Linked DNA regions of Arabidopsis thaliana. The protein of the gene in region 3 interacts with the protein of the main gene of each other region in a pairwise test. Each region holds a gene or a part of one and is shown on either strand. Other genes may lie near its edges.

Region 1 (10,377 bases), on a different chromosome or scaffold from region 3:
CATTGATGTGCGTAGACTGTGTTGCCTCGGCTGGAGGTAATGTCGTCACTTCAAGTCCAGCCAATGCCAAAGTCAAATCCGTTGAGGACGGATCCTTAGTCTTCTTGAATCCACCCACAAGTTCTTTCTCCTTGTTAATCGTTTCACTAGCCGCAAAAGGATCCTTATTCTCCGGCTCTGGTTCTTCCTTCAATTGCTCTGATTCAGGCACCACTGGAGCCAAGCTCGCCGCGAACTCATCTCCAGCGGCAACAGTCTCCGGAGGCAATTCAAATCTTGCATTAGAAAATGCGTTTACAGAAGCTTGATGCTCTGCCGCATGCGATTCAACAGCCATCCAACTATCAGCTCCTCGGATCTTATTCTCAGTATCAAGAGCCGAATGAACCATCTTCGCAATCCCATCTCCGTGCATAGCACCAAGCATCGCCGCAAGACGGATATTACTAACACCACGCAAAACAATATCAAGCGCCATATAAACCTCAGCATACTTCCGTCCAAGCTTCTCCGGAGTAACTTCAACTCCACGACAAGCAGTAACAATAACACTAACAGCTTGATTCACAATATGAATACACTCAAATACATTGATCGAATTATCATGATCCGCGACAGTAACACCAAGGATATAGATCGAGTTCACTAATCTATAAACTACACGATACTTGCTCTCAACACCAACAATAACCTGTCCATTAGAAGCAGCGAGTGGATCATCACCTACAAACTCCGCCGCCGTGGCATCGTCAGGATCCGCAACGGAGGAAGAAGAAGAAGAAGAAGAAGAAGCTTGATTCTGTTTCTGATTCGATTGTTGCTGATGCTGCTGCTTCGAGGACGCTAATGCTTGACGCATTTGACGAAAATACGAGAGAGCGATTAAGGCTCTTGCTGGTGGAAACCATTCTCTAGTTTGGAGCAAAATGTCGGATCCATTTGCTGGTTGCAGAGCTAGGGCTAAACACGACATGATCCCGATTCGAAATTGATCTCGAAGCTTCTACTAATGGTGACTATTCAATCTCAATGGTTAGATTGAAACATCTGATGAAGAAATCGATCAGATCTGAGAACTGAGAAGAATCGTCGGAGAAGAAAAGGAGAAAGAGAAATGAGATCTTCGTTGTTTCTTTCGAAAACGACGTCGTTTGTTTCATTACTCGTATCCTACCTGCATGGACCTAATGCGATGGTTTGAAAATAAGCCCAATAGTAGACGTTTATTCTTAACTTATTGGGCCTAATGTCAAGGTAAGAAGCCCAATAATATGATAAAACGATGTCGTTTAACGCGATTAGGTCTTTTTAAATTTTGTAGCGCTTATAACTTTTGCGATTTTTTTTTAATTGGTAGCTTTTGGCGGTGAAATGCAAAATGGGAAAATTAAGCCGGAGAATCTCCTCCGACGATCGCCGACGAATCGTAAACTAACCACAGGCTGTGAAATCCTCGACGGATGTCTTCGCGGCGGAATTTCCTGCGATTCTTTAACCGAAATCGTTGCGGAGAGTGGCTGCGGAAAGACACAGCTCTGCCTTCAGCTTTCGCTCTGTACCCAACTTCCGATTTCACACGGCGGACTCAACGGTTCTTCTCTTTATCTCCATTCAGAGTTCCCATTTCCGTTTCGTCGTCTCCATCAGCTCTCGCACACGTTTCATCAATCAAACCCTAGTATTTACGCGAATTACAATGATAATCCTTGTGATCATGTGTTTGTACAAAATGTCCATTCTGTAGACCACCTGTTCGACATAATGCCTAGGATAGATGGGTTTGTTGGGAATTCGAAAACTAGGTTTCCGTTGAAGTTGATTGTGCTTGATTCTGTAGCGGCATTGTTTAGATCGGAGTTTGATAATACTCCGTCTGATCTTAAGAAGAGATCTTCTTTGTTTTTCAAGATATCTGGGAAATTGAAGCAGTTGGCTAGCAAGTTTGATTTGGCTATTGTGATTACGAATCAGGTTACGGATTTGGTTGAAACTTCTGATGGGTTAAGTGGGCTGAGGATTGGGAATTTGAGGTATTTGTATTCGTCTGGAAGACGAGTTGTTCCTTCTTTAGGCTTGGCTTGGGCTAATTGTGTGAATTCCAGATTTTTTATTTCACGAAGTGATGGTAGTATTGTTAAAGATAGAAGTGAAAAGGACGAGAATTGTTCAAGTTCTGTGTCCAGAAGTGCTAAGAGACGGCTTGACATAGTGTTTTCACCTTATTTGCCTGGGAGTTCTTGCGAGTTCATGATCACACGAGAGGGGATTTGTGCGGTTCAAGCGTAGGTGAACTCGGGTGCTATGTAGGATAGTTTTTGTTCGAAGCATCACCGGATTTTTTGGAGTATTTGTTCATTAGCCATTATTTATGTACATTGCAGAAGGATCCGGAGATGGGTTGCAGCAAAGCCAGGTTTATTTTTTCGGATTCCTCCTCTTGGTTAGATGTGATATGTGCTTGTTTTTAGTTTATAAGCATTCTATGTTCAATTATTCATAATAAAGCTTTTTAAAAGATTCCTGTTAGCTCCTAAGTCTACTGCAAGCTTCTCACTTTGTTCTCTGATTCTCTTTTCTTTGCATCATTGAATTTGCACGAAGTCGAAAATTTCCCACTTGGTTGCTATCTTCAAATCGTTTCATTTGTTGAGTAAATTGCTGATGTGATCTTTATATCTGGCCGTAATATCTTTATGAATAGGTAGTGTTGATCATCCTGGTGGATATGGTTTTTGTATTTATTTTCACTTGAACTCTGTAGCTAATTTCTCGATTCTAACCAGAAAATGACTGAAACCACAAAATATGATGATGCATGCCTTCATAAGTGCCATAAGTAATTAATCTAGTTAACATACTTCATTGTCCTATTGGTAAGCAAATGGAGTTAAAACAGATTACTTGTAGCTAAAAGATCTTTAACACTTCGATTGTTTTCTATTTTTCCGTGGTTATTCAGTGGCAGAGGAATCAACTGCAGTTCGAGAGGATCAATTCAGCCTCTGATGTATACAAGAATGAGAGATTCCGCCTAAGGCTGTTGCTAAAAACAACCATTGAATCATCTGAAGGACACGACGGAGCTCTACAAGAGGAAAAATTTTTTGGCCGTTGTTGGTCTTTGGATTAACAAAAGCTCTGTATACGAATCTTCACTTTTATTTTGTATAGAAGAAGACTAAACATATTTAGTTCCAATGTATAAGTTTCAACATCTCTTATTAGCACTCTTCACTATGAGCAAAACTTCTACTCTCTATGTGAACCGGCCCATTTACAAGATACGGCCCATGAACCTTTTGTTATACGTCATAGTGACATCACTCTCCAGCGTAAAAACTAACTTCCGACTGAAACTGGATTCGGTTCGTCGTTATCGGTATCGAATCAACAATGTCGAATCCTGCAGCCGTCACCGCCGGCAGAGGATCAATCACTCACGTCATATTCGACATGGACGGTCTTCTTCTCGGTAATCTCCTTGCATCTGATCTTCAATCTCCAGCTTTATTAGATCGTACTACTGTCACTATCGTTGTTTAGATTTGATGGTTTTTTTAGTAGTGACTGTTTAGTTTCCAGGATTGATTTCATACAATTGATGTTAAGATGCTAAAGCAATTAGCTTGAATCTGATCGGAAATCGAGCGATTGAGTTTTTGTTCTGTGTATTCAAAATCTCACAACTTCATTGGCTTATCTGCTCTTGCTGCATACATTCATGCTGATTTGGTTTCTGTTGCAGATACTGAGAAGTTTTACACTGAGGTCCAAGAGATTATACTTGCTAGGTTCAATAAAAAGTTTGATTGGTCTCTCAAGGCTAAAATGATGGGTAGAAAAGCAATAGAAGCTGCCAGGATCTTTGTTGAAGAAAGCGGGATTAGCGACTCTCTTTCAGCTGAGGACTTTCTTGTCGAGAGAGAGTCAATGTTGCAAGACCTTTTCCCTACTAGTGAGCTCATGCCAGGTAGATTCTGCTTTTTGTAACACATGACATTTGGTTCACAGGAAGATTACATGTACGGATATTTATGTTTTTGATGTGGTCATGAACCAATTCTCTTCCACATTTTCAGGGGCTAGTAGACTCATTAAGCATCTCCATGTAAAGAATATTCCAATATGTATTGCTACCGGGTAATCTCTTCACCTCATCTCATAATATACCATTTAGTTTGCATTCTCATTGTCCTTTACAATCCAGAAACTGACTTGTTATGTTTGATTGTACGCTTGCAGTACTCACACACGGCATTATGATCTGAAAACCCAAAGACACAGAGAGCTTTTCTCATTGATGCATCACGTAGTTCGTGGTGATGATCCAGAGGTGAAGCAAGGAAAGCCTGCTCCTGACGGGTTTCTCGCTGCTGCTAGGAGATTTAAGGTAACTAACAGGCAACAGTCTCCAAGATTCTCCATTACTAACTAGTTCATATTTAAAATGAGTTGTAGACTAATGTTTCCTCTTCGTCTGGATTCCTTAGGACGGTCCTGTGGATTCACAAAAGGTTCTGGTGTTTGAAGATGCTCCATCTGGAGTTCTTGCTGCTAAAAACGCCGGAATGTAAGTGGGTTTCTCTTCATGTAAAAGCCAATAAAAACCGAGAAACAAGTTTATACATCTTGATGTCTATCTACAGGAACGTGGTTATGGTACCGGATCCTAGACTAGATATCTCTCACCAAGATGTTGCAGATCAAATCATAACCTCTCTAGTCGATTTTAAACCGGAAGAGTGGGGCTTGCCTCCATTCGAAGATTCGAACTAAACGATACAAACGTCTTCAAGGTAATGATAAAAACTCAAATCATGAAGCTTATTCTTTGTCTTGTTATATTGTTTTGGCATGTACATGACAAAGGCCATGAGGCTTTATGTCGTCAAGGGTTCTATGATTTTCTGGCTATTGAAGACATAAAAAGAAACTAAGTGGTGACATGACGAGAGACCAAACAAAAAAATTTGCCTCAACGTTTAAACAAATTATTTTTGTACAACTACTCTTACCCACAAGTTTCAACATTGGCTTATCTTATTTTGTTCTTGTCGGTATAGCTGAATTGATTCCTTCTTTATGGTTTGGAATCTCTCTTCTTTACGCATCACTAACATGTGTTGTTACTGCAACGTTTCATGTTTTACACTATAATTAAGAAAAATAGGTTATATTTAGTATTACAACTTTTTTTTTATTTTTCATTTCGTACGTGAACAAAGAAGCAAACACATCCAATGATGATTTTACAGTAATGCCATTAGGATTCAACCGACATCGGCTGTTACAAAACATCGTATGACATCGTTGCAAAAACGGTCTTTCTCCTCCTCACTCGTTTCTTTTAACTTGTCTTGTGTTTCCCTTGACCGGCAAGATTCGAATTCTCTTCGCTACACGAACAAAGTCCCTGTGTCAACAAGCAAATTTTCTCGTTAACGTCCAAGTATTAAAATATTGCCAGTTAAAGATCACGAAACCTTCAAAATCTAATTATACTAAACATTGAACGAAAACCGTAATTTTTAAGAAAGATATATAACGGTATCAAACAAAATAACTATAGCCAGCAAAATTGAGTATACAGAATAAGGATAGCAACAAAATATCATTTCACTAAATTATTGATATTTGTCTTTTTAGAAAAGCAGAGAACATGTGTTTTCTTGGCAGCTTGAAAAACTTGTGTTTGTAGTATTTTACCGTTAGGGGAAAAAAAATTAATATAGTTTTCCTATGTTTAAAATAAGGCTCGTTTTATATATAGTTTGTATATATATGGCCATCCTGACAATAATAAAGAAAATTAATGTTAGGGGAGGAAAATTACTTCCAAGTAAGATCTCCGGCAAGAAGGAGATCGTTCTCCATGTCTTCATAAGCAATAAGATGGCCAGGAATGGCGTTTGACAGATCAAGATCGTCCGTTGAATCAGCTCCATCGACAAACATTTGCCTTAGAGCCGAAGCCAAGCTCTGATAACTCCCATGCTTGTCTAGGCTTATGCGTTGACATATAGAACGTCCCTCTAGCACAACCGTAACCGGAGGAACCACCGATGAAACAAGATCGTCCTCTACGTTAAGCCCAAAGCCTTGGAATGATCTCCCGGCCGCTCCAGAGCTGGAGTTGCTATTATTATGGTTTTTGGAAGCCGGTTTGGGTATGAAAGGTGTCGTGGTGTCACGAGGTTGTTGTGTGGTGCTGTTGTCTTGATGAAACCTTCTTTGCAAAGAGTCTTGGCTTTGTGGCTCGAAACTATTCATATTGAGAGTAGGGTTTTAGGGCTTTTGTAACTTAGAGAAGACAACGGACGCTTACATGGAACTCAAAGTGTTTCGTGTTTTTTTGTTAAGCTAGAGAGAGACTGTGTGTTTGATGAGATTCTGGTGAAAGTGAATGTATGTACATATAAATAGATAGAGAAAGCGTAAATTGTGTGGCAAACAAAAAGGTGTCTTTTATTTTTCATTTTTCAATTTTCGTTTGGTTTAATGTTGTCTTAAATGTTTCATTTAATTTGAAAGTACATCTGCTCTTTGGATTTCTCGTTAGACAATGAATCCTCAATTAACAATCAATTTAATATTTAATTATTCAATGAACAATTGGATTCACGTAAAAATGTTCTCACATGCTTATGTATTAAATGTGTTTTTACAATTATTGTATTTTGCTAACTTATTCTACTATATATCTATCACTGCGACTGTGAGAGTAATAAGAGCTGTTACAGGAAATGTTCCAAGGTTTCACTAATTTTGACCATATATTACCAGCAAGGTATTAGGTATTTATGTATACAAGTATAAAGAAATTTTAAAATAAAAATGTTTGGAAATGTTTACGTGGACAAAAAGAAAGCTGATGGGAAAACATAAAAACAGTGAAAAAGAGTCAATATAATAAGAAATGTGAATTAGCTAGAAAACTCCAAATTAATTAAAGACATTATAAATTGGTGATTAATTAAATAATGAAAGAAGGTATCATAGAAAAAGAGATCTTGTAAATTGTAACGCATGGGCTGCGGAGACGACCGCGCTGCCGTCGCCGAACGCCTCGCTTCCTTGACTCGCGCCTGGTCGGGAGTTCCACGTCATTTTCTTTTCATACACTAATACACACATCAAGCATACATACGAAGAATATAAAAATTGTATTAACCGGTAAACACACGCATATATCCACACGACCACACATCAACGTCATATAGAATATACATGCATAGCCATTTATCCATGTAACATCACATACACACACATGAATACGTTTAACGTTTGATCTCATACTTCTCGGATTTAACTCGGTTTGACGAAAGTAAAACAAAGTATTAGACCTTGGTCCAAAATGTAGACATCACCCCTCTAATAATAATGAAAACTCATGTTATTTGGGAGGAGTTGTTTAGAGTGATTAGATCCAAGAAAATATGTGAACTTAATTAGAAATTTCTTAGATCAAAAAAGAGGGAAAAAAAGAAGAATTGCACTCTAAACTCATACAATATAATCCAAAGTCTTTTCGGTTATAGATTTTGGTGTACGGAACTTATCTGAAAATAAATAAATAACAAGTTTGTTCGAGCTACCTAAAATTAGTTGATTCCAATTCAAGTCATTTTAAAACATTATACACGATTTTAAAATCGCAAATAATTAAGTTGAGTGACCAAATGTATAGGTAAATCATGTATGAGTCAAATAACTGTGCCTAAAATTGTAATTTTATGCTAAAATGTTGATTTTCATATGGACTATTAAATGAAAAATTAACGGTGGATCCAACAAGCAATAGGTGAATAAGCTAAAGCAAACCCAAGAAGACATAAAACGAAGCACAAGAAGCATATTTTCTTAAGTTTGAAGCAAACAATAATTTACTCTATACATTTAAATTTCAACTCGGGATTCGAATTAGAAGACTCGAAGATCCGACATGGAGGCATGGAAATATTTAAAACTTACCTCGGTTTCATAGATCTCAATTTAGGACTATAGTTTAACACATTACTACGTCTACATGTTATATTTAATCATCTAATTAATTTGTCTCGATTTTTGTTTTTTTTCGATTCTACAGACATACGTTAATGTTTGCTTATTCCACTCCCCGATAATAATCAAAATTTAAATAACAATCAAACACTTACCCGCTGTTTTGGTCTGTTTCTAACCAAACAATGATAATCATTTTGTCATGCTCATCCAACATTAGCACAAGTCTAAACAGGCCTTACACATCAGCTCAATAAAGCCTTAATAGGCCCAATTAAAACAGTATGGGCCCACATTCTTCCTTCTCTTAAAGCCTAAACAGTTGGCGCGTCAAAATCACGTGGAGGAGCACTGAAGCCAGTAGGTGTCTCTTCACAGGATCATTTCCTTAAAGCTCATTATCACAAAAACAAATCCTTTTGATTATTATTACTGAAATAAAAAGCAAAGTGAAAAAGGTTTTAAAAACTTTTATTTTCGCTCTTCTCCAGAAACATTCCGTTTCAGATATTTTTGATTTTTGAATTTGTTTTCGCTCTCTCTCTCTCTCTGCTTAGATTAGATCTGTTCCTGTGAATTGATTCTCTGTTTCATCGTTTGCTCACGCCGCCGTTTTCGCCGGAGGTGGAAGCTCTCATCGCCGTTTCGAAAATGCCGGCGAATGATGCTGAATACGATCTCAAAGTAAGATTACTGTTTTCCGATTTGTTTTCCTCATCGAATTTCAATTTCAAGCTCCATTGACTGATTCTATGGTTTCTTCTTCACAGGTTTTATCTCAATCTGCGTCAGCAGGGTTAGTTTTCTTCTTAATCCCCCTAGGGTTTACTTTAAAATCTCCAATGAGTACTGATTGGAATTTTTGTTTTTTTGATTGAGAAGGGATTACACATTTGCGAATGAGGATAACTTGGAGCATTGTACGAAGTATTTGAATCAGACGATGGTTACATTTGGATTTCCCGCCTCGCTCGATCTCTTTTCGAATGATCCTGTAGGTTCTTATTATTGATGCTGAAATTGTTTGGATGTTTTGGGGTTTTAATTAGGGTTTTTGTTTGATTTAGGTTTCTATATCAAGGACCTGCAATTGTATGTACTCGTTGCTGCAGCAGCGACAACGTGATATAGAGTTTAGAGAATCTGCTAATGAGCTGAGACAGAGGTGAATTTTGTTTTTCTTCCTTCTTTCAATTTGCTTTGCATTGCATTGTGGTTAATTGAAATTGTTCTTTGAGGATTAGTATTGGTCTGGAGATTGTAGCAGTTTTATCTACTTTGATTTTGCGGAAGAATGTTTCCTTGTGGTTTATGTGCATTTCCCTTACTGTGTGTAGACAGCAATCGGATATAGCTAGACTTGAAGCTAAAGTTGAGAGGCTTGAAGCGCTACTCCAACAGAAGGACAGAGAAATTGCAACAATTACCAGAACCGTGAGTCCTATAAAGTTTCAGCTGAAATTGTTTTCGCTTAGGCTCTTGTTTGATTATGAATTCACTGTGTTGACAGGAAGCCAAAAACACTGCAGCTTTGAAGTCTCAGATTGAAAAGTTACAGCAGGAGAGGGATGAATTCCAAAGGATGGTGATTGGTAACCAGGTCTGATTGTGTTTGCTCTTGGATTAACTACTTTATCTTAGAGGAAATTGTACTGATGATGGATTCTCTGCATTTCTTCTTTTATTTCTGAATAGCAAGTGAAGGCTCAACAGATACACGAAATGAAGAAAAAGGAGAAGGATTACATTAAGTTGCAGGTTTTGTATCTTTTTCTCGTGAAACTAGCTTTTCTGCATCCTGTTTAATTCTGCATTTTGAACGCTTTGTTTCTCTTGTAGGAACGGCTGAATCAAGTGTTAATGGAGAAAAAGAAAGAATCAAGATCTGGAATGGAGATTATGAATTTGCTACAGGTTCTTTACCAGCTTCTTGGTTTTTTGCACTCAAGGGATTTTCTATTTGACTGATTATCTGATGTATATACTAGAAAGAAGGGAGGCAACGTGGTACCTGGAATGGCAAGAAGACTGATACCGACTTCTATAAAAAGATAGTAAGCATCTAACTACATATCAATAACGTTGTGCTGAGTTTCAAAAGGGCATTACTTACTAATTCCCTCCCTGCAGGTGGATGCGTACGAAGCGAAAAATCAAGAATTGATGGCTGAGAACACTAGTCTAAGAGCATTACTTCGATCCATGCAGGTACGCTCTATTTCCATACTAAGCTTAACGTAAGCAACTTAACATGGTTTATTCATAAGAAAAGTTTTTATCTTTGGTTTTGTTGCAGACAGATATGCGTGATTTCTTAAATGCTCCAAATGGGTCAGCTACATTGGCTGGAAGTGAGAAACGTGAGGCTGATCCTTC
Region 2 (10,053 bases), 7.6 Mb from region 3:
CTATGATTGACTCATCATACTATGAAAATATCGTTGACTTATTACAGTTTTTTCATCAACAAAATATATATACATCTCATATGGTTGAAGTATAACTACTATCATATCATCATTCATCAATCACTTTTGTTGTTACTGTTTTCAGAGAGATTACTACATAGTAGTACATAACAAGAGAAAACAAAGCCATGACAAGAAACATCAACAAAATTCTAAAAAGCAAGAAGACGAAGCTGGACAAGATCTCTGCAGCATTTAACATACACCACTCCACTCGCAATGAAGTTTTATCGTGTTGGGACCTCCGATTTTGGACTTTTTTTAATTTTACTTACTTTGGTAATTAAGTGATTTTTTTTTGCTACTACATGTGAACCAAAAAGAAAATGAAAACAGAAAGTTGTATTAATGGCTAGGGATTTTAACTTGTAGCTCGGTTGCTTCTCATTAATTAGTAAACGGTGTGAATTAATGGCATATATACCATTGTACGTAACAAGGATCATAAATGTGGCAAAAATTAAATCACAGTTGTAGACAAATAATAACCCCAGATCTCACGGGTTGATCTCCCAAATCTATGTTTAAGCACGCTACTAAATTCAAAAAATTAAGCACTAATTTAATTAACTCAAGTCTCCCCCAATAAAAACACTTCCTTTTTGTCTATCTCCCATATATGTAATGGTCAACAAGTCAAATTTTTAAAATTCATTATATTCTCTGTACATGAAAACATTTAGTAATGTTTCTTTTTAAAAAACACTGTTTTGATTTAATGTCGTTAGTAAAGTTTATTATTTTGATTTCTTTTTAACTTTCCTTAATTATTTCTAAATGTGTCTTCTTTATCGTTTAAACCACACTAGTGTGTGCGTGTCTCCTTCACTTTCAAAGACAGTCTCTTTCCCCAAAGAGCGGATTCAGGATTCACCATCTCGATCTGTGTCCAAAGCTCCTATCTTTCTTCTTTCTTCCCTGAAGAATTTTCTGGAGCTTCTCAGGTCAAATCTCAAATCTTTTTTTAACTTAATTTTGTTATTTCTATCAGAAAGTTTCGATTTTTATGCTCATGCTTGTGCATCCGCGTACCTGCATTTCGTTTTGTGTTTGAGCCGCCAAAGTTTTCAACTTTTTTTTTTGGGATTTATTGCAAATTTGTCGATGTTGAAAGGTTTTCTCAAGGAGAATGTGAAGAAAAAGGAAGAGAATGTGAGTTGATTTTAGGCATAGGGTTTTGTGGGTTCTTTCAGATTTATGTAGAATGGTGCAGCTCTGATTCATGGGTTTGCAAATGGTTTCTCACGATCTGTTCGTTTTCCCAAGGAAATGTAGCTGCTTTTTTTTTTTTTTTTGTCATCAGATTGAAATGTAGCTGCTTTTGAAGAGAAAAGTCTGATGCTTCTCTTCCGATTTTTTATGGATGGTATTTATAAAAGAAAGAAATAGTAGTTAGATTGTCGAATATTGGTTTTCCTAATCTTTTTTCTTCTCTAGATTTTATAAAATTGGAGTCTTTTTCTGCATTACTGTTTGCATTGTTCAATAAGGAAATCAAATAACTTTTGATTCTACCATTGAATCTTACGGAGTTTTGAAAAAAAGTTTGAAGCTTTGAACTTTAATGTATCTTCTATTGATACTTTTGTTGATCAGTGGAAAATTTTCAAGGAAAATCCTCTGTAAGACTCAATTGGTTCGATTATTAAGTCAAATTGGCCATCTTTTTTTCAGAACATTTTTATATGCATGGTTGCAGATTGCTATCTGCTCTGAATGTTGATCTCTCTATTGCCTTAACTAATGATCTTTGCGTTCTTTTGACAGATCAGAGGAAGATGATGCAATCCTAAGACTCTAAGACTTCTTCAAGGCTGTGTTTTATCGTGGGATTTTTAAACATGGGGAAGGAAAATGCTGTGTCTCGGCCATTCACTCGTTCCCTTGCCTCTGCTTTGCGCGCTTCAGAAGTGACTTCTACTACACAGAATCAACAGAGAGTAAACACAAAAAGACCAGCCTTGGAGGATACAAGAGCCACTGGACCCAACAAGAGGAAGAAGCGAGCGGTTCTAGGGGAGATCACAAATGTTAACTCCAATACAGCTATACTTGAGGTTGTTAAAACTATATTATGTTTCTTTATAGTGTTTGGTTTCCTGTGAATTTTTGTAAAGATCTTGTGAAGTAAAACATGCATCACTGAAACATGGGTTTTGCCATTTCAGGCCAAAAACAGCAAGCAGATAAAGAAAGGACGCGGTCATGGATTGGCGAGTACATCCCAGTTGGCAACTTCTGTTACTTCAGAAGTCACAGATCTTCAGTCCAGGACCGATGCAAAAGTTGAAGTTGCATCAAATACAGCAGGAAACCTTTCTGTTTCTAAAGGCACAGATAACACAGCTGATAACTGTATTGAGATATGGAATTCTAGATTGCCTCCAAGACCTCTTGGGAGATCAGCTTCTACAGGTGATCCATTTAACACAAGTTTTCATATGATTAGTTCCTATTGTATAAAGGAGTGGTCTTTAATGACTTATAAATCTTTTTTGCAAATGGTTACAGCTGAGAAAAGTGCTGTTATTGGTAGTTCAACTGTACCGGATATCCCAAAATTTGTAGACATCGATTCAGATGACAAGGATCCTTTACTGTGCTGCCTCTATGCCCCTGAAATCCACTACAATTTGCGTGTTTCAGAGGTAATTCCTAGGCTTTGATAGTCTCTAAAGAAACTTGGTGAGCCAAAGGACTGAAAGTTTTATTGCTTGTGCTTCTGTGTCACTTCTCTTCTGGCAGCTTAAACGCAGACCACTTCCGGACTTTATGGAGAGAATACAGAAGGATGTCACCCAGTCCATGCGGGGAATTCTGGTTGATTGGCTTGTGGAGGTTAGTGTTTAGTTCTACTTTTGATGCTAACTTTTGAAGCTACTATGACCTTTTCCGGGTTCTCACAAAAGTCTGATTTCAATCACAGGTCTCTGAAGAATACACACTTGCATCTGACACTCTCTACCTCACAGTGTATCTCATAGACTGGTTCCTCCATGGAAACTACGTGCAAAGACAGCAACTTCAACTGCTCGGCATCACTTGCATGCTAATTGCCTCGTATGTTCCTCTCCAATCTCACTAGTAAATCTCTTCTCAAAAGCTAAACTAAACTTATACTGCATTTGTTTATAAACTTTTCAGGAAGTATGAGGAAATCTCTGCTCCACGCATTGAGGAGTTTTGCTTCATTACGGATAACACCTACACAAGAGATCAGGTATACCGAGATTGCTGTCTGAATCCTCAAAAAAGAAAGTGTGCAATGTGCTAATGGAGTCGTGATGTGCAGGTCCTGGAAATGGAGAACCAAGTACTTAAGCATTTTAGCTTTCAAATATACACTCCCACTCCAAAAACGTTCCTTAGGAGATTTCTCAGAGCAGCTCAAGCCTCTCGCCTGGTATGCATTTCGCAATTTGCTCCCCTATCTCTTCTAATTACAAAGTTTAGTAGAAAGACTGAGAATGTGTCCATATTTGATTGCTGATTCGGCAGAGCCCAAGCCTTGAAGTCGAGTTTCTAGCCAGCTATCTAACAGAGTTGACATTAATAGACTACCATTTCTTAAAGTTTCTTCCTTCCGTTGTTGCTGCTTCAGCGGTTTTTCTCGCCAAGTGGACAATGGACCAATCAAACCACCCATGGGTCTGTGATGTTGCTTCTCTTTTGTATATCCAGACACAGTTTAGCTCCACAAAATCTTTGATCTTTAACATCTTTTTGATTTTTCCCCCGGCAGAATCCAACACTTGAGCATTACACAACGTACAAAGCATCGGATCTGAAAGCATCTGTTCATGCCTTACAAGATCTGCAGCTTAACACCAAAGGTTGCCCCTTGAGCGCTATACGCATGAAGTATAGGCAAGAGAAAGTAAGCTTATCAGTTAAAACCACATACTAAAACCTGTTTGGTATAACTTTAGTTTGGTTTCCTTGATTCTCATAAGACTTATTATGGATTTGCAGTACAAATCTGTGGCGGTTCTCACGTCTCCAAAGCTACTTGACACGCTATTCTGAAGGTTTCAACTCCTAACCGATAATAGTTTTGTCACATTGATGGTCCAATTTCGTTTTCATTCATCTGTTACTCTTTGTTCATAAAACAGAATTTCCACAGTCCCACTCATCTAATACCTGATTAGAATTCGGTTTAGCCTAGTTTGATCCGTGGTTTGGTTCTTCCAAACCCGGGAACATCTAATCGGTACCTAGAGTTTTTTTTATTGTAACGAGAATGTACATTTTTCTCCCATCTTGAGGCAATGTAAACAGATTCGGAATTTTCATATCAGTTTTCTGATATGAAGTAGGTTTAAGTATTTATATTTCAAATTTCATTGATTGTTGATATTGAACTGTCATGCAGTAGCTTATAAGAACCGCCTCTAGACTTTAGTCCAGTGACCAAAAGATAAAGATGAATGAACTATGTCAAAGAAAACAACTTCTACAGAAATTTCGGAAATCTTAGACTTCCGAAGAGAAATATTGAGTAACTGCAAAAATGTATATTTAGATATCTGTAAGGCTCACTCACATTCACATGTGACTATAAATATCATTCATCCTCTGTTACATGATCTCTTCATAATCCTTAACCTCTTGCACGATCCAAGGAACATTCTGCACACAAATAGTTTCATAATTTATTAGATATCAATTAAATAAAAGAAAGTAAATTTGAATGTTATAGAGGTCGCTAGAAACTTACTCCCAAGGAACATCTCCAGCAAGCATCCAATCTCCATCTTTGTCTTCATATATTGGTACACATTCACTTTCCTTCAACGTATCATCTTCATTTTCATATATAAAGATTATAAAGTTAATATCGATGTTTTGGATCATTAGTTGCCTTGATAAGTAAAGACTAAAACCAAAAATATATACTATATATAGAAACATAAACTAACCAAAATTGATATAGCATCCGAACAGAATTTGCAGAGCGGAAGCAAGATCTTGGTAACATTTGTACATTTCCAAATCAATCTTCCTTAAAAATGCAGCTCCATCTACACTCACTTTCACGTACGAACTTTTGGTCCGTTCGAGACTGTTCTTTCTCCGGTACGAACAAACCGGTGGCCAACCCACAACTTGACTCTTTTTCGCCGGTTCACATTTCAAATCAATCTCTACTTCCGGAGAAGCCCTCTTCTTCCCGGAGATGGACTCACCGGAGACGACGATATCTCCGGGAAGACCTAGCCGTAGTTCGGTGATTTCGAGTCCAAGATTATTACTCTCATTCGCCATCTTTGATGTTTTTGATTGAAAGTATTGGTGTTAATGTGTTTGAACTTTATTCTGTTGCCACTTTATATGTTCTCATGGGAACATAAACGATGGCGTTTGAGACAAGCTTGTTTAGCATTGATTTATCTTGTCGGCCCCATTCGAAGATCTTGTCGAAATTTTTATGTCATGTTTTTTCATTCCTTTGCCGCTTCGTGTTTAAATGTCGATAATATGGATCCGTTGGTTCGACACACTGGACGGCCACGATTTTGTTACCGACAAAGTAGGGTTTCTTTCTCAGCCGTTGGATCAGAAACACGTTACTTTCTATTAGACATCCCATGTTATGTGTGATTTGTTATGTCTGTATCCCATTCTTTTAATCAACGACATAATAATAAAACAACATATTCATGGTCGAATATATATTAGTGCACTTTAAAATCTACGTATATTTATGTTTCTCGACAACCGAACACGTGTTACTCAAGGCTAAGACAAGTTATTATATTATTTCATTTTTTTCTACACGTAACACACTACACAGTGCATACATAATTTCAAAGAAAAAAATGCATCTACGTTTTCGTCATATATCTTGTTTCTGCTATTCACACATGTGCCCGATACTTTCATTACATCATACGTAATCTACACATGTACACCATACTTTTGTCATTATTTGTTACGAAATAGAAACAGAACTGATCAAAATATCAATTACGGGATATATTTCCATTTTTCATAGATATTTCCATATCTTTGTATCTCCAATAGTACATTTTTGGAATGTTCACATGTTGATAGATAAGCTAGATTAGTCAAATTTCCTTGTACACAATTTCTAGTTTTCGATTGATCATGTAGAATTGCGTATAATATATTGTCGGCTGGCTTTAGCCAATGAATAACACAACAAGACTTTGTGATAATGGACAGCGAATCCCACAGTGATAATGATGATCACATAATCGACATTACAAACGATGAAGATTCTTCATCAAGATCGTCTTTGGACGAGAGAAGCTATCCTTCATTAAGTTCGTCTCTGTCTACGGATGACGAATCGTCAGATGAAGGTGCAAGTTCATCTACGAGAGACTGTGGTAGTCTTTGGAATATAATGGAATTAGTAGTCACTTTGGTTCAGATTGTTGCATCATTAATAGTTTTAACTCTGGCAAAAGATGAACATCAACAAGCACTTTTGTTAACATGGGTCATCGGTTACACTTGTGGCTGTATTACCATTACGCTCCTTATTCTCCTCTCGTGTGTCCGCAAATACAACCGAATTGGTGTTTACTCAAAAACGAGGTATAATAAACAACACTTGTTTCACTTAACATTAAGAGTTTAATTAGCTAAATCAAACCGAACCGTTGTTGGTGGCAGAACGGATAGGGTAATGGATGCTTTGAAGATGGGGAATGAATGTTTCTTTGTTGTGTGGTTAGTTATGGGGATTCTATGGATTTGTTATGGACACTCATCTTCTTCTGATACTCCTAAGCTCTACAGGTTTGACTCACAATCATGTCACAGTAGAGATTTAGTTAAACCCTAACTAATCAGTACTAACTTTTGTCTTCTTGATTATGTTTTGGCAGGTTATGTGTAGTCTTCATTGCTTTCAGTTGCATTAGATTTGCATATGCATTACTATTATGCGCAGGTATTTTTTTCGCTTAATGTTCACTAGAGTTTGGAACATTTTTTTCTCATATCTATGATGTGGATAAGTTGAAATCAAATGATGTAGATTCTGTAAGGGAAGGTATAGGAGGTAGATTTGTTTTCAAGAAACCGAGCCATGATGATGTGAGTAATAATTTCATATCACATTAATTACTCTGTTTTAAATAGCATTTTTTTGTTGTTGTTGTTGTTTAATTTTCATGGTTTGATGGTGTGTGCAGAGTTGTTGCATATGCTTGGGGAAATATGGAGAGGAAAAAGGAGTAGGACTAAGGAAACTTGAATGCTCACACGTATTTCATTCGCAATGTATAGACAAATGGCTGAAAATCAAATCCACATGCCCTCTCTGTCAATCACAAGTTAGGTGGTGATGAGATGAGGTTGATTTTTTTTTTATTTTTTTTTCGCTCAAGAGTAATTGTACACATTCAATAAACAAAAGTGGTGGGAAACTGAAAGATACGATCCTGTCTTCTTGTGTTGTCTGTCTTAAAACAGAAAATAAATATCATACAGATCATTTGACCTATTAACAATTTAACTTGTCCAAAACATCTGCAATATATATAAACATTGAAATCTCAGCTTTGATCTTCATTTTTCAAAATAATGTTTTATTTGTAACACGACTAATACGTACTTAGTATTGATCTGGTCTAAAAAAATACTAATAATTTTATCAACAAAGAAGGAAAGGTATATGCTTTGTGCTCGTCAACGCAAATTTGAATGAACTTTTCATTTGATCGGCAAGAAATAGGAAAAACCAAAAGTGATCAATGGAGGGCCCTTTGTTGAGCGAGTGTGAACACATCATTGACATTACAAGCGATGGTAGTTCTTCATCAATTGATGGTCAGCAACCACACGAGGGTGTTGAATTGGGTGATCCATACACAAATGAAAGCATTTGTAATTCAATCGAGTTTGTTGTGACTTTGGTCTTGATTGCTGCGGTCATAATCGTTCTGATTGAGCCAAGAGATGAAGAACATCCACAAACAATGTTGTCTATATGGATCATCGGTTATACATGTGGCTGTATTGCCACTCTCCCTATCCTATGTTGGCGTTTTTGGCTTTATAACCGAAGCGTTGGCTCCGAATCTACAGATGAATACTTAAGAGAGACAAGGTATATATAAATTGTGTTTTCTTTTATCTTTTTATGCATTAGATTGAGATATAATGGTTTTATTGGTTTGCAGAATCAACAAGGATATGGACTTTTTTATGACGGGTTTCTTCGTGGGTTGGTATGTGGTGTTTTTATGGATTCTTTCTTCCAAAGCATTCGACTCATCAGCTCTAGATGATACTACAACTCAATACTTCTGGTGCGTATCAAACGAAATTTCCAATCATATGTATACCTTAAAACGTATATATTGACCTTTCTTATACTCATGCCTTTGGCCTTCTTCATTGTCTCTTTTGCAGGTTATGTTTGGCTCTCCTTACTTTCAGTTGCATTAGATATGTTCTTTTTAATCTAACATTGGCAATGGTCTGTTATACTACTCCTTTGCTTTTACTTACGCCTGTGGTCATATGTGTTCTCCTTGCTGTGGAAGTCTTAAAAGGCATTGTAGCATGCATTGTATCATGCATCTGCTGAAATCGAACTAATAAAAATATTTTGTTTGTAAGCCTAGGAGAATGGGCGTTTAAAATCAAAGTAAAGCAGAGTACCAGAATAAAAATGTTTTGTGTTCATGTTGATGATTTTAATCTTATTAAGGTAGAGAAAAACAGTAGCTAAGGTTTTTTGAAATGATCAAATATGATCATCTCGTCTTATTTCCTCTTTTTATTTTATTTTTCTCCCTCGTTAATATTATTCTCCATTAAATGACAGTTTTGACTGACCATTCTTATTCGTGCGTTTTCGCTATTCAGATATGTATTTTAAGGGCCCGTACTTTAATGGGCTTTTTAAAATCTGACTTATTTCGAGTCGAGTCCTACCTCATTGTGACATTTACCCAAATAATCACGTGTTTCAGAATAACCTTTTATAGGCCTTATTATTTTGACAGATTTGGGTAAATCGAAATGGATATATAGATAACTTTAACACCAAAGATAAGATAACTAAGAAAAATAATAAAATATTATAGTTTCCCAAATAATAAAATTTAACACCAAAGATTTCTCCTTTTACAAAAAAGACATATTACTTCTTCTAGCTTCCCAAATAATACATCAAGCACCAAAGAATTAGGAAGACTATAATTTAGAACCAAATATTTTGAAATTTTACTCTAACGGGCTACAATTGACTAATAATTGGTCTTGGTGTAGGTAAAACAAAAACACACAAAACAAATGTAGCTCCGAAAGTCTACTCATTGTAAAGGACTTTATGTGATTGACTTAGAATTGGTATTGGTGTCGATTAGGTCTTAAGATAATAATATAGCTGGAAATGTCTATTATTCGTATTTAGAGAAGAATGACTAACTTTTTTTTTGTTCGTTAGAAGTTTACAATTGACTTATAGAATAGATCTTGACGTAGATTGGGTCTTAGAATAATAATTTAGCACCAAAGAATCGGAGAGGGCTTTATGTAATTTGTATTTCAACGCTTGTTTAGATGAACTATTAATTCGATTGGACAAAATAGAAGAAAGCAAAAAAGTGATCAATGGAGGGCCCTTTGTTAACCAAGAGTGAGCACAACGTCGAAGACGTTACAATCCATGGCGATTCTTCCTCAAATGATGAGCACATCATCGACATTACAATCAATGGCGGTTCGTCATCAGCTGATCATGAGCAAACTCCACATGAGGCATTTCAATGGAGTTGTCCATTTACAAGTGGAAGTTTCTGGATTTTGGTCGAGTTAGCTGTGACTTTGGTCCAGATTGTTGCAGCCATATTTTTTCTGATTCTAACAAAAGATGAACGAGATCCAGAACTAGATGTAGCTTTGTTTACATGGATCATCTTTTATACTTGTGCCTCTATTGCCACTTTGCCTTTTGTATGTTGCCGTTTATGGCAGTATATCCAAAACGCTAGCTCAGAGACAAGG
Region 3 (12,469 bases):
AATGGAAAACAGATGTGGTATGTGGATGATGAGATGTCAGCATCAAAGAGGTTGAAATTAAATTTATGTATATAAATGATATGTCAATTTTTGGCTGAGATGGCAACATGGGATCAGAAGAGTGCTTAGTTTTGTATATATATAGGATGGAGAAGTATCTATATAGAAAACATTGTCCTGAATATTATAATACCTATTAGGTGATTGAAAACATTTTCCTAAATATTAGAATACCTATATAGTGATTGAAACTATTTTCACAAACCGAACAAAAAGTAGTCAACGTACTACTCATCACATCTAAGAAGAGCAATGTTTCAAGCTACCAGCACGGGGGCTCAGATTATGCATGCGGCGTTTCCCCGTTCTTGGAGGCGAGGGCATGTCCTGCCTCTCCGGAGTGCAAAAATCTTCAAGCCCCTCGCATGTCTCGAACTCAGAGGAAGCACAGGGTACACATACATATACCTCCCTCATTTAAATTCATAAGAGCTAATCTTATTTCATCGAGGGGTATTCTTGCTAGTTGCTACTAAGGCAACTATCACGTGCCTTAGTTCTAAAAACAATGCCCTTTTCCTAAGAAATTTGAGAGTCCAAGAAATTGAGAGGAGATTTCTTAATTGTAACTTTGGTTCAGTTGTAGCATATTAAGGTGATGACTGAATAGTTTTTAAAATTATAAACTAAGGCCAAGGGTAACTAACTAGCTAAATTATTCACACATTTACCTTCTCACGGCCATATAAATGTACTTCCTTTTATGACCTACGATTATCATTTTTTTTAGCGAGTTTGTAAAAAAAAAAAAAAAAGAGAAATATATGTTTGCAACTACTATTTCTTGTTACATATATATTGGAGTTTTATATTTATGATTTTGTTTTTGTGTGTAATGACTACGTTTCTTATATATAGTGGCCAAGAGGAGTGAATGTAATTATGTTGCTTTATTATCTTATTAAAATCTCTATATGGCAGAATTGGTGGGTTCCATGAGATTGAACTTAAAGTTCGTGATTATGAATTGGATCAGTTTGGTGTTGTGAACAATGCTGTTTACGCAAACTACTGCCAACACGGTTAGTTTTCTTTAGTTATAAATTTTGTGCGGTCTCAAATTATTATAAACCCTCGATTGAAGTCGAGACGTGTACTTACGTTAGTGCTATGTCACATTCTTACAAAAAATGGTTTGTTAAACTTATTTTCATATATACAAAGGTCGACACGAGTTTATGGATAGTATCGGTATCAACTGTAATGAAGTATCCCGTTCTGGTGGAGCCTTGGCAATTCCTGAGTTAACAATAAAGTTCCTTGCACCTTTACGTGTAATATTCTTACTCTCTTTTCCAAGAATATTTGTTCTCTTTTATAGAGTTAATGTTTGTATTTATGTTGATATCTTCGAGCAGAGTGGATGTAGGTTTGTGGTGAAAACGAGGATATCGGGGATATCTTTGGTGCGCATTTACTTTGAACAGTTCATCTTTAAACTTCCAAATCAAGAGGTATATTTAGTTGCTCCATCAAGCCTTTTGTGTTGGTTTTCTGCTTGTGTATAGTTTTGATTAATTAGGATCCTTTTGGTATATAATTGACAAAGCAGCCTATTTTGGAGGCAAAAGGAACGGCTGTGTGGCTTGACAACAAGTACCGGCCTACTCGTGTCCCATCTCATGTACGCTCATATTTTGGTCACTTCCAGTGTCAACACTTGGTCGATTGATCCACATTCTAGGGCATCACAAAATTTATGACCTATATATTTTGGTTTGTTACAATTTCGATTTGATGCAGAAAATATAAATATCCATAATTTTACAGACCAAAACATAGATTCAAATTTTTTTTTTGGACAAAGATTCAAACTTAATACCTATTAAAATGAGGCAAATCATAGTACTAAAATCTGAAGAGCAAGATATATGTGATGATATATGTATACATATAATTATATATATTTAAACTGTATAGTTTATTATATCTAGGTTTAAATTTTTATGAATTTGTATTCATCACATTAATCCTAAAATATATCAATAGTGCTTTTTGTTTGTTGAATTTTGAAATTTGCTATATATTAATTATTTTAAAAATCTTATCACGTAACTGGTGAAAAAAACAAAATCTGAAGTAATCAATATCGGTCAGAATATCTATCTTTTGACATAAGTCGTTACAGAACGGGTATGGATAAAAACAAATGGCCGATCGAACAGAGGAAACTAATCAAAAATCACACAAATTCATGATATCCGCTCTATGTCCACTCCTGTGACATTCTTATGATTTTTGTACATGTTGTGAAACTCGTTCTCTTTTCTTTCTTTTATTCATATTATGTTATATATCTCTTTGTACATCCAATTTATCCATTAAATTTATATTTCGTCTTATAATCGTGTGGGTTTCTATAGTCAATAATACTATGACTTGGCGCCATATATATTTGTATATCTTCAGAAAAAATGTTAAAGTGTTTTTAAGGGCAAAAATATTAAAAATTTTATAAACTTTTAAATTTGGGACGATTTAATCTTCAACTTCACTGAAATAAATAAATCGTAAAGTTTTTTATGACTTCCTAAATAATAAATAAAGTTTTTGTTGACTTGCCATTTGAGTAATGTCGTTAAATAGGTTAACAATTTTATTTTTTATGACGACGTCATTTATTGTAGAGACAAAACGACGTCGTTTATTGTAGAGACAAAACGACGTCGTTTATTACAGAGACAAAACGACGTCATTTATTACAGAGACAAAACGACGTCGTTTATTGCAAGGACAAAACGACGTCGTTTTGTGTGTTAAAACAAATTTAAACCCTAAATCTCCATCTATCACAAACCGCAGACCCAACAATCATCTTCTCTATCTCCATGTCGGCTCTCTTGGTGAATTTACTCTTCAACAAAAGAAGAAGAAGAAGATGATGAGTTATAAGAAGAAGATGAGTTATAAGAAGAAGATGAGTTATAAGTTTTTTTTATGTTGTCTGACTAATGTGTTATAATTTTTTTTTTTTTGTGGGTGTTATATTTACGGATGTCAAGTTGGTTAAACCAAATCAAACCAATCTATATTTATATAAATTTAGATTCTAATGGATAATGAGTCAATCTAATTCATTTAGCAAATGGTTTGGATAAAACAATTAGTCATTTAAATTATTGAATTAATGAATTAAATAAGTTTATTCAATTAATAATTTCTCTATAGATGATAAAAAAAAATTCTATAAGCTAAATAATTATCATTAATAATAATTAATAACTATTATAATTATCAATATAAAACATAGAGCAAAAATGCTTAACTGACATTTAGGTTGAGAGGCAGCGAGAAGCCCTTGTACATTTTTGATGGAATTCATCATACTATAAGCCACATCCCCTTGTAAGGCCAAACCATCACCACCACCGGTGATCTACCCCTGATACCAAAGACATCCCAATAGGCATCGGATACATGCAAATTCACATCATAGTTAAATGGAAAGGGGAAGCTAAATGGAAAAGAGAACATGCCCTTGGAAATTTCTCCAAAGAGCGACAATATATGAGAAAGCCGGTTTATATGGGATCCTTAAAAACTTAAAGAGGAAGCAAAAAAAAAATAACCTAACATGAGATGTACCATAGATCCCATATGAAAGGTTTGATCATAATGCTAGAGAATTCCTATTAATGCAATCAGAATCAAGCAAAAACTCATATTTAAAATTTATATGGCTACTTTTAAACAAATTTCATAGAAAAAAATATTTTGTTGTAAGTACTAAAATTTTCCTATATCACTCAACTTATATATGAGTAATGCATATGTTGAAAAGAAAAAGCTAGCAAGAACTCCTATTTAAATTTATATGGCTATCTATAAACAAAATTCAAAGATTTTTTTTCATTGTAAGTATTAAAAATGTATTATATTACTCAACTTATATATGAATAATGCATATGTTGATTTTGGTAACTTAATCAATAAACATATAAGAAAATTGATTTTCTTATGTGTAGTCAAAATATTAATGACATTTCTCTAAATTACCTTTATTAATTTTTGGTAACCTTATTAAATTTAGTATTCAAATCTAAGGAAGTATTTTAATGTATTTTGATAGTTCTTACCTATAAATGTGATATTTTGTGCTATCATGGTCGCGAGAGAAGTTGAGGAAAGGGAGAAAGTTTTATAATAATTGTTGAGATAACATATTTTGGTATACCGATATTTGGATACGAGGTTATGGAAACTGGCAACGTTGTGAATGCACAACCTGAATTATCAGGCATAAGTAAGAAATTTTAACTTTTTTATTTTCTCTTATTGAAAACTTGTTTTGGTTATAATTTTTTGGTTTTTGTTCGGCAGTTGATGGATCCAAGAGCTATATGTACGAGCAGTTATGGAAACTCTGTGCGGGACCTTTGTGTGATATTCCAAAACTTGGAGAAAATGTTTATTACTTTCCTCAAGGCAATATAGAGCTTGTGAGTTCTCCCTCTCTTCTCTCTCTCTCTCTCTCTCCCTCTCTTCTCTCTCTCTTCTCTTTCTCTCTTCTCTCTCTCTTTCTTCTTTCTATCTCCCTTTCTTCTCTCTCTCTTCTTTCTCTCTATCTCTCTCTTGTGTATGAAACCTTTTGACGGCCTTTTCAGGTTGATGCATCTACAAGAGAAGAGTTGAATGAGTTACAACCAATTTGTGATCTTCCTTCTAAGCTTCAATGCCGTGTTATTGCAATTCATCTTAAGGTATATCTCTATTATGTTTTAGCAAATACGCATGATATCTATATTTGATTTCATTGTAAAAAGAAGTAATTGGTTAATTGTTTGATGTTTGATTTTAGGTGGAAAACAATAGTGATGAGACTTATGCTGAGATCACTTTGATGCCAGATACAACTGTAAGTGAAAATTTAGTATTTCTCTTTTATTTTCAGTCAATTGTATTTTTCTCCTATTATATCTCATTGATTTTCTGATTTTGTTAAATCCTTAGCAAGTTGTAATCCCTACTCAGAGTGAAAATCAATTTAGGCCATTAGTTAATTCCTTTACGAAGGTTTTAACGGCCTCTGATACAAGCGCTTATGGTGGATTCTTTGTTCCGAAAAAACATGCCATTGAATGTCTCCCTCCACTGGTATTTAATGTTATAATTTTTTTAAATGAATTTGAATTTTAAGATTTCATTAGACATTACATATTAAATTTTGGTTTAGGATATGTCTCAGCCTCTACCGGCACAAGAACTTCTTGCTAAAGATCTCCATGGTAATCAATGGAGATTCAGACACAGCTATAGAGGTAATAATTCATTTTATTCAAATCATTCAAACACAGCTATTGAGGTAATAAATCCTAGAGAAGTAACTAATAATCTTCTTATTCCATGCAGGTACACCGCAAAGACATTCGTTAACAACTGGTTGGAATGAATTCACAACATCGAAAAAGTTGGTTAAAGGAGATGTTATTGTATTCGTTAGGTATAATATTGATTCTTGTTATATATCTTTTGGTTTTGGAGTTTTGGACTTTTAAACTATTTACTTGTGGTTTTAGGGGAGAGACTGGAGAGTTACGAGTTGGTATCAGACGAGCAAGACATCAACAAGGGAATATACCTTCATCAATAGTATCAATAGATTGTATGAGACATGGGGTAATTGCTTCCGCAAAGCATGCTCTTGATAACCAATGTATATTCATTGTGGTTTACAAGCCAAGGTAATTCAAAGAACCATTTGAACTCACATTTTAGATTATATTGATTTATCAATAGATTAGTTCCTTCAACATATAGGTTTATATTTTGTGTCTTTCTAAGTATCAGGTCAAGTCAATTTATTGTCAGTTACGACAAATTCTTAGACGCTATGAACAATAAGTTCATTGTCGGTTCAAGATTTACAATGCGGTTTGAGGGTGATGATTTCTCTGAAAGAAGGTAACATTAGATGAAAAAAAATTTCTGCATAAATATATTTATAATGTTTAATATTATCAATGATAACACATTTTGTTCAATTGATTAAGATATTTTGGGACAATTATTGGAGTTAATGATTTCTCTCCTCATTGGAAGTGTTCAGAGTGGCGCAGCTTAGAAGTAAAATTTCATTCACACTTTATAACATTCTTTTAGGAATACGTTTTTGAGTGCAATAAATAACATATCACTAATTAACTTTAATTTTGCAGGTTCAGTGGGATGAATTTGCATCATTTTCGAGACCTAATAAAGTGTCACCCTGGGAGATCGAACATTTAATGTCTGCGTTAAATGTTCCGCGATCATCTTTGCTCAAGAACAAGCGTTTACGAGAAGTTAATGAATTCGGTATAAAAATACACTCTTATAATCTTTTATTTAAAGGATTAATCTTCTATTTAATGAATTTGAGACTCTTGAATACCTTCTCAATATTCTTGTTTTATATACATGTTCTTCATCATCACATATCTTGCCTCCTATATTGACACAAGGACAAGAAATTGGACAACTAAGCGTCGCCTCCCCGATGAATACTTCTCTTCGTTATCGTGATACAACTGAAGATGCTATGAATCCTTCTAGATTGCTAATGAGCTACCCTGTCCAACCAATGCCCAAACTAAATTACAATAACCAAATGGTTACACAAATAGAAGAAAATATAACAACCAAGGCAGTCACTAATTTTAGGCTGTTTGGAGTCTCTCTAGCCATTCCTCTAGTGATCAAAGATCCCATTGAAGAAATTGGCTCGGATATTTCGAAACTTACTGAAGGAAAAAAGTTTGGTCAAAGCCAAACTTTGAGATCACCAATAGAGATCCAAAGCAAGCAGTTTGGTTCTACTAGAACTTGTACCAAAGTAAGTATAAGATCAATATTCTTATTCCTTATATATGAAACTTTTTCTCATTGTACTCAACTCATGCAATCTTGATATGGAACAGGTTCAAATGCAAGGTGTAACAATAGGAAGAGCTGTGGATTTAAGTGTTCTTAATGGATATGATCAGCTAATACTAGAATTGGAGAAGCTCTTTGATCTCAAAGGCCAACTACAAACTCGCAACCAATGGAAAATAGCTTTCACAGATAGTGACGGGTATGAGATGCTTGTTGGAGACGATCCATGGCCGTGAGTTTCCTTTCTATTTCTATTGATTAAAAGATTAGTTAAAATCTTGAGAGACATTGATATTTCATTTTTGTGTTGTTTGCATGTAGTGAATTCTGCAAAATGGTGAAGAAGATATTGATATATTCAAAAGAGGAGGTCAAAAACCTAAAGTCCAGTAAGAGTCTCTCAAGTTGAATTAAGAATAAAAAAATATGTAATAAAAAGGGGTCAAAAATGTTATCGGTGTCTCGTTCTATTTTTATTTTTCTCTTATTTGTTGTTGCATGCATTTGTATTATGCACTTTTGTTTCCATCGTCCATAAATGAAATAAAATCCTCTTGTTGTCGTGATATTGAGCTTTCTTTCTAATTTATACAATCTACATATCACATCTACATTCTAAAAATTTGAGTGTAATATTTATTTTATGATATTTTGAAAAGAAATTTGTGTAACACGATTTGGGAATTTAGGCTTTAATTTGTTTCAACAGACAAAACGACGTACAATAAACGATGTTGTTTTGTTTTAACAGAGCAAATAAACGAGACATTAACATCGTAAAAAAATCTGTTAACCTATTTAACGACATGACTCAAGTGGCAAGTCAACAAAAACTGTGTCATTTATTTAGAAAGTCAACAAAAACTTTACGATTTATTTGTCTTCCGTGAAGTTGTAGATTAAATCGTCCCAAATTTAAAAATTTGTGATTTGTTTTGACATTTTTCCTTATTTTTAAGTGTATATTCAATGAACTAGCATAGTAAAGTTAACTACTATGTTGGCTGCTTGGTTCTATTTATTATATAACAATAATTTACAGAGAACAATGCGACTAACCTAGAGAATTGCGTTTTTGACCAATTCTCTTTCAATAAGAAATCAATCCAAGAATCAATTAGATCTTGGTGAAAATCTAAAAAGTTTTTCTTTACTTTACTTTACTTTCTTGCGTTTCAATAAAGCTCCATATGAGCTATTCAATTTTCAATTCTAAATTGCTATGTCTATAATCTCATTTGAGTACAAACATATGTTGCTTTGGATTTGATTTCAGGTAGTTTTGTAAATTATTGTTCTCATGTAGAATTTCTAGTTAAACATTGCGGCTGAGGAAAGTATTTTTTTTAATGGTTTTATTTTATTAAGAGATGTTAGAACTAAAAAAGATATTTAAGAATTTGATCATTTAAAAAAGATTTACCAATCTATAGTTTAAATTATTGATAGAAAATAAAAGATATTTTGAATTCTATTTTGCATTTTGTTGTCTACTTCATAAACCTGTTTCAACGAGGAACCGAATATTCAATTAGGTCATGTATGTTTACTCAGAAGGTTCGTCTATATGAAAATGAGAAATGATGTTAGTTTAGTGACAAAAATGAGCAACATCCACATAGATCATCTGAATGGATTTTTCTAATTTAGGCAAATTGTCAAACTCATTACTCCTCTAGATGAACTTAATTGGAGCATTTGGATGAAGAGGATTCAATCAAAAATAACCAATGACAAATATGACATCATTTATGATCATATCAGATAATGTAATTTTTTTTATATAGAGAGTTCTCATTTTCTATTTTAAAAATCACATTTTGCATAAAAAAGAACTCTAAAAATCATGAATTCGCGGATTATCATTTTCCATCAAAATCACAAAATCGTAGAATTGTGTTTTTCCCATTAAAAATGTGAAATCACTAGTTTTGTTTATGGAAACTTGTGAAAATGTCTTTCCAATAAAATGTTCAATTGTAGAATTATGGAACAAAATATTTCCAGCAAATCATGTTTTTCTTCCAACATCACAAAATTATTTTTCTCACCATAACCAAAAAAATTATATTTTCCGTCAACCCGCAAGAATCATAAAATTAGTTTATATATGTTAAAATAATAATAATGAATATTTAGTTGTGCATATATTTTATTGTAACAGTTAAATTAATGTAGGTAAGATTAAAATTTAAAATGATTAGATCCAAGTAAAGGTTTTTTTAGTCATTTTCTTATTAAACTCGTTTAGATGAAGGTGAATATTTATAAGAATTAAGCTAACAAACATAAACTCATTGAAATGCGGTATCTAAATGAATATCCAACATTTGAAACAAACAACATTCTGATTGAGCATTTGGATGAACATTGCAATGGACTTTCTCGATGGAAATACAAGATGATCAAACGAACATTGCCCTTAATATGACTTGGCGATCATAGAAGGATTCATGGTTTGTTTTGAAATTTATGTTATCGTGACTTTGAAACTAGACAAGATTGTCAACGATATAAATAATCGCTACACAAACAAATCTAATCCTCTTGGAAGAAACTTACCATTAAAAGGCTATGAAAAGAAAGATGAAAAATTGGATCTAGATTTCTTTTTAACTTAATTTTAACCGATTTTATTGATTATGTAATTTTATATAATAAGAGAAGGTTTTCCTAAACTTCTCCTAAAAAGACGATATTTGGCGTCCTCATTATGTGAATTTTGTACTTTCAATACAAAAAAAACACAAAAAAAAAACAAAACCGGGCCTATCTAACTAACCTAACATAAAGGCCCATTCTATTTGCTATACTCCATATTGCCCATTACTTCCTCCAACTCTCGACATCTTCTTCCTCCCCAAGAAGATTCCTAAAAAAATTAAAGCATCTCTCTTCTTCCTAAACATCAACGAGAGGAGACTTCTGGGCGCCATCTAGATTAAAAAGGTTAGTCATTTTTTAAATTTTTTTTACCATATGTCTTTGTTTACGTTGAATTAAGTGATAATGGGGACGTGAGGCATCTCATCATTGTTCACAATTACTTTAATCAATTCAATTCAATCTTTCAATTTCAATTTTGGGTGACTGATTTCTTCCCACCAACTTTAAATTACCATAAATCCAAAAACTTCAAAATTTTAATCTATGTAACGCCTTCATAGTTTAAATTACCATAAATCCAAAAACTTATTAGCAAACGTTTGCGTAATTATGGTAATTTAAAATTCATTACAATCCCCAAATTATCTCCCTTAAATATTCTATAAAGATTTGTTTTCCAAAAGCTACATATACGACACACACCACCTCTCTCTTCTCTCTCACAATGGTTAAAACTAAAGCACTAGCTCCCTACTCTACCTTAGATTAAATCTACGACGATCATTTAACCGCAGGTAACAATAAGATTGTTGTTCGGATCATCCATAGTTGGGAATTTTGAGACTTTAGAAGAAACAATAGCTTACTAAGTCTTGAATGTCTTCTTTTTGACGAAAATGTAAATAATCCTAACTATTTTCCATCTTCTTCAATTTTTTACATTCATTATTACACATAATTTTATATTTTCTCACACGATTGTGCTATAGAAGCTTCTGTCCTCCCTAATCGGCTGCCTAACTTCCAAGATCAAATGGTTCTAGGCAATTTGTACGGCATCAATGATTTCGATGTTGTTGCTTCCTCAAACCGTTATCGTCGAACCAACCACAAATGTAAAATTGTTTTCACAGACAAAACGTTTTTGGACAGTGTTAAAGAGCGACATTGCTCCATTGGTTACGAATATGTTAGGATGTAAGTTGCTTGAATTGGTAAACAAGGGCGATCGAGGAGCTTCTAGGTAACATATTTTCCTCTTATTCCCCTTATGTTAACGTCCCTTTCTTCTAACTCTGCCTATATGTGATTTCCATTCAACTCCCTCTTACCTTGGTCAAATTTCGTCTTGTCGGACATCCCAAAACAAAGACCAAACAAACCCTCCCAAGATAACATTCAATATTATATTGACTTGCATTTTAGAAAGGTACAGTTTCTCCAAAACCCCCACTAAAAACAAATTTTAGTGTTTATTAATGGTTCTTAACATTAATGGTCTCCCAATGACAGGAAATACAACAAAAACATTCCTTCCAATGATGTGTCCTACCAACAAGTTAAGAAAAGTCAACCACTACTAGTTTCATCCGGTTCTGAAACCAAAGAACAACAAGTAATCAACATGCCATCACATCAATACAAGCCATATGTAAGGAATTACAATTTTAAGGCACATATGAATGTTGAATGGTGCTGTTCAACCGAAACGAGAAAGTATTTATTTAAATACATCAAAAAAAGGGGTTGACAAAGCTACAATTGTTGTAGAGAGGGCCTCGGGGTCGGTGGTAAAAACAAAAGGCGAGTCAAACTATGTTGACGAGATTAAAAAATTTCAAGAATGTCGATATATTTCAGCATGTGAGGCAATGTGGAGGATATTTCGTTTGATATTCACTATAGCAGACCAGCCGTTCAACACCTTTCTTTGCACCTGCCTGACCAACAACCTCTTATATTCGATGCAAACCAAAGTCTCGACAGTGTCATTTCACGAGATGGAGTTGACAGGACAATGTTTACAGAGTGGATGAAGATTAATCAAAGTGACGAAGAAGCCAAAAGTATGACATATGTTCAATTCCCAACTCGGTTTGTCTGGAATACCACGACAAAAAAATGGACAAAAAGAAAACAAGGTTTCAAAAAGTTTGAAGCACTCGATATCTAAAAGTGCGCAAAAAACAAATCATCTCATCTGATTCTGAAGAACATTTAGACGGCGAAGAGGCGACACCTTAGCACATCTATTATTGTAACTTGACGTTACTATCTTTACAATTTCCTATATTAGTCTACTTCTCAAATCTTTAGTTTCACAAGTTATTTTTATTTCACAAGTTATTTCTCTTTATACATTTTGTTTCTTTCTCTGGTTCTGTAATAAACCATTATCTTATCACTATAGTTTGAGCACCATATATTAGTGAGGAATGAGCATAACTAAGTTTGAATAACATGACATTTTTTTGGTTTTTAACTATTTCCTACCATAAAAAAAAAAATATGTTCAACGGTTTTTGATTCAAAATTTTTATTAATAATATCTTCCAATCAAGAAAATCTTTAAACATTAAATACATAATCGGCATATTGGAAAACAAAATTCAAAAACAATTTATGTAATTTGATATTTCAAAAAAAAATTATTAAAAAACCTTCAACACTTCCAAACATGTATATATATGGTATATGTATTACCATTTTTACATGTATTCATAGCCTCATTTCGATTTCACCTACTCTTTCAAAAGCTTTACGATGAACATTGCCTCACCTAAAGCACATGTCGAGTCATCACAAGGCCTCCTCATCCATTTAACGGAACCTAACACAGGTCTGTATTAACTCTTTTTCATTTTTTTTTTTTTTGATAGGATGTATTCACTCTATTTTCAAACATTCCCACTATTTTCTTCATTACTAAAATATGTTTCTCTTACATTAC

The links.
Region 1: the proteins of ARF20 (region 3) and IAA33 interact in a two-hybrid assay, tested with the Arabidopsis thaliana proteins (2 studies listed by BioGRID).
Region 2: the proteins of ARF20 (region 3) and IAA5 interact in a two-hybrid assay, tested with the Arabidopsis thaliana proteins (2 studies listed by BioGRID).

The regions. Positions count from the first base shown.
Region 1 is NC_003076.8:23,265,917-23,276,293, reverse strand, and holds IAA33 (indole-3-acetic acid inducible 33), read right to left. Parts: upstream 6,381-10,377; 5' UTR 6,271-6,380; coding exon 5,834-6,270; intron 5,414-5,833; coding exon 5,335-5,413; 3' UTR 5,202-5,334; downstream 1-5,201. Other genes in the region: AT5G57460 (muniscin carboxy-terminal mu-like domain protein), read right to left, coding at 1-973; XRCC3 (homolog of X-ray repair cross complementing 3 (XRCC3)), read left to right, coding at 1,372-2,286; GS1 (Haloacid dehalogenase-like hydrolase (HAD) superfamily protein), read left to right, coding at 3,394-3,472, 3,746-3,970, 4,080-4,140, 4,243-4,390, 4,491-4,570, 4,647-4,776; AT5G57410 (Afadin/alpha-actinin-binding protein), read left to right, coding at 8,653-8,685, 8,772-8,797, 8,884-8,995, 9,069-9,166, 9,339-9,435, 9,512-9,601, 9,697-9,759, 9,841-9,915 and 3 more. UniProt on the Arabidopsis thaliana protein: Aux/IAA proteins are short-lived transcriptional factors that function as repressors of early auxin response genes at low auxin concentrations.
Region 2 is NC_003070.9:5,361,133-5,371,185, forward strand, and holds IAA5 (indole-3-acetic acid inducible 5), read right to left. Parts: upstream 5,366-10,053; 5' UTR 5,329-5,365; coding exon 4,983-5,328; intron 4,866-4,982; coding exon 4,781-4,865; intron 4,693-4,780; coding exon 4,632-4,692; 3' UTR 4,380-4,631; downstream 1-4,379. Other genes in the region: CYCA2;3 (CYCLIN A2;3), read left to right, coding at 1,902-2,117, 2,229-2,475, 2,572-2,708, 2,806-2,898, 2,987-3,120, 3,205-3,280, 3,353-3,463, 3,559-3,708 and 2 more; AT1G15590 (E3 ubiquitin-protein ligase), read left to right, coding at 6,242-6,627, 6,706-6,831, 7,073-7,100; AT1G15600 (uncharacterized protein), read left to right, coding at 7,791-8,146, 8,220-8,348, 8,452-8,629; AT1G15610 (uncharacterized protein), read left to right, coding at 9,661-10,052. UniProt on the Arabidopsis thaliana protein: Aux/IAA proteins are short-lived transcriptional factors that function as repressors of early auxin response genes at low auxin concentrations.
Region 3 is NC_003070.9:12,922,309-12,934,777, reverse strand, and holds ARF20 (auxin response factor 20), read left to right. Parts: upstream 1-4,254; coding exon 4,255-4,303; intron 4,304-4,380; coding exon 4,381-4,499; intron 4,500-4,664; coding exon 4,665-4,760; intron 4,761-4,858; coding exon 4,859-4,915; intron 4,916-5,010; coding exon 5,011-5,154; intron 5,155-5,233; coding exon 5,234-5,318; intron 5,319-5,409; coding exon 5,410-5,500; intron 5,501-5,576; coding exon 5,577-5,741; intron 5,742-5,847; coding exon 5,848-5,961; intron 5,962-6,050; coding exon 6,051-6,123; intron 6,124-6,215; coding exon 6,216-6,354; intron 6,355-6,500; coding exon 6,501-6,871; intron 6,872-6,956; coding exon 6,957-7,144; intron 7,145-7,233; coding exon 7,234-7,321; 3' UTR 7,322-7,475; downstream 7,476-12,469. Other genes in the region: AT1G35250 (Thioesterase superfamily protein), read left to right, coding at 313-452, 982-1,082, 1,225-1,334, 1,419-1,514, 1,613-1,732; AT1G35242 (uncharacterized protein), read right to left, coding at 3,382-3,534.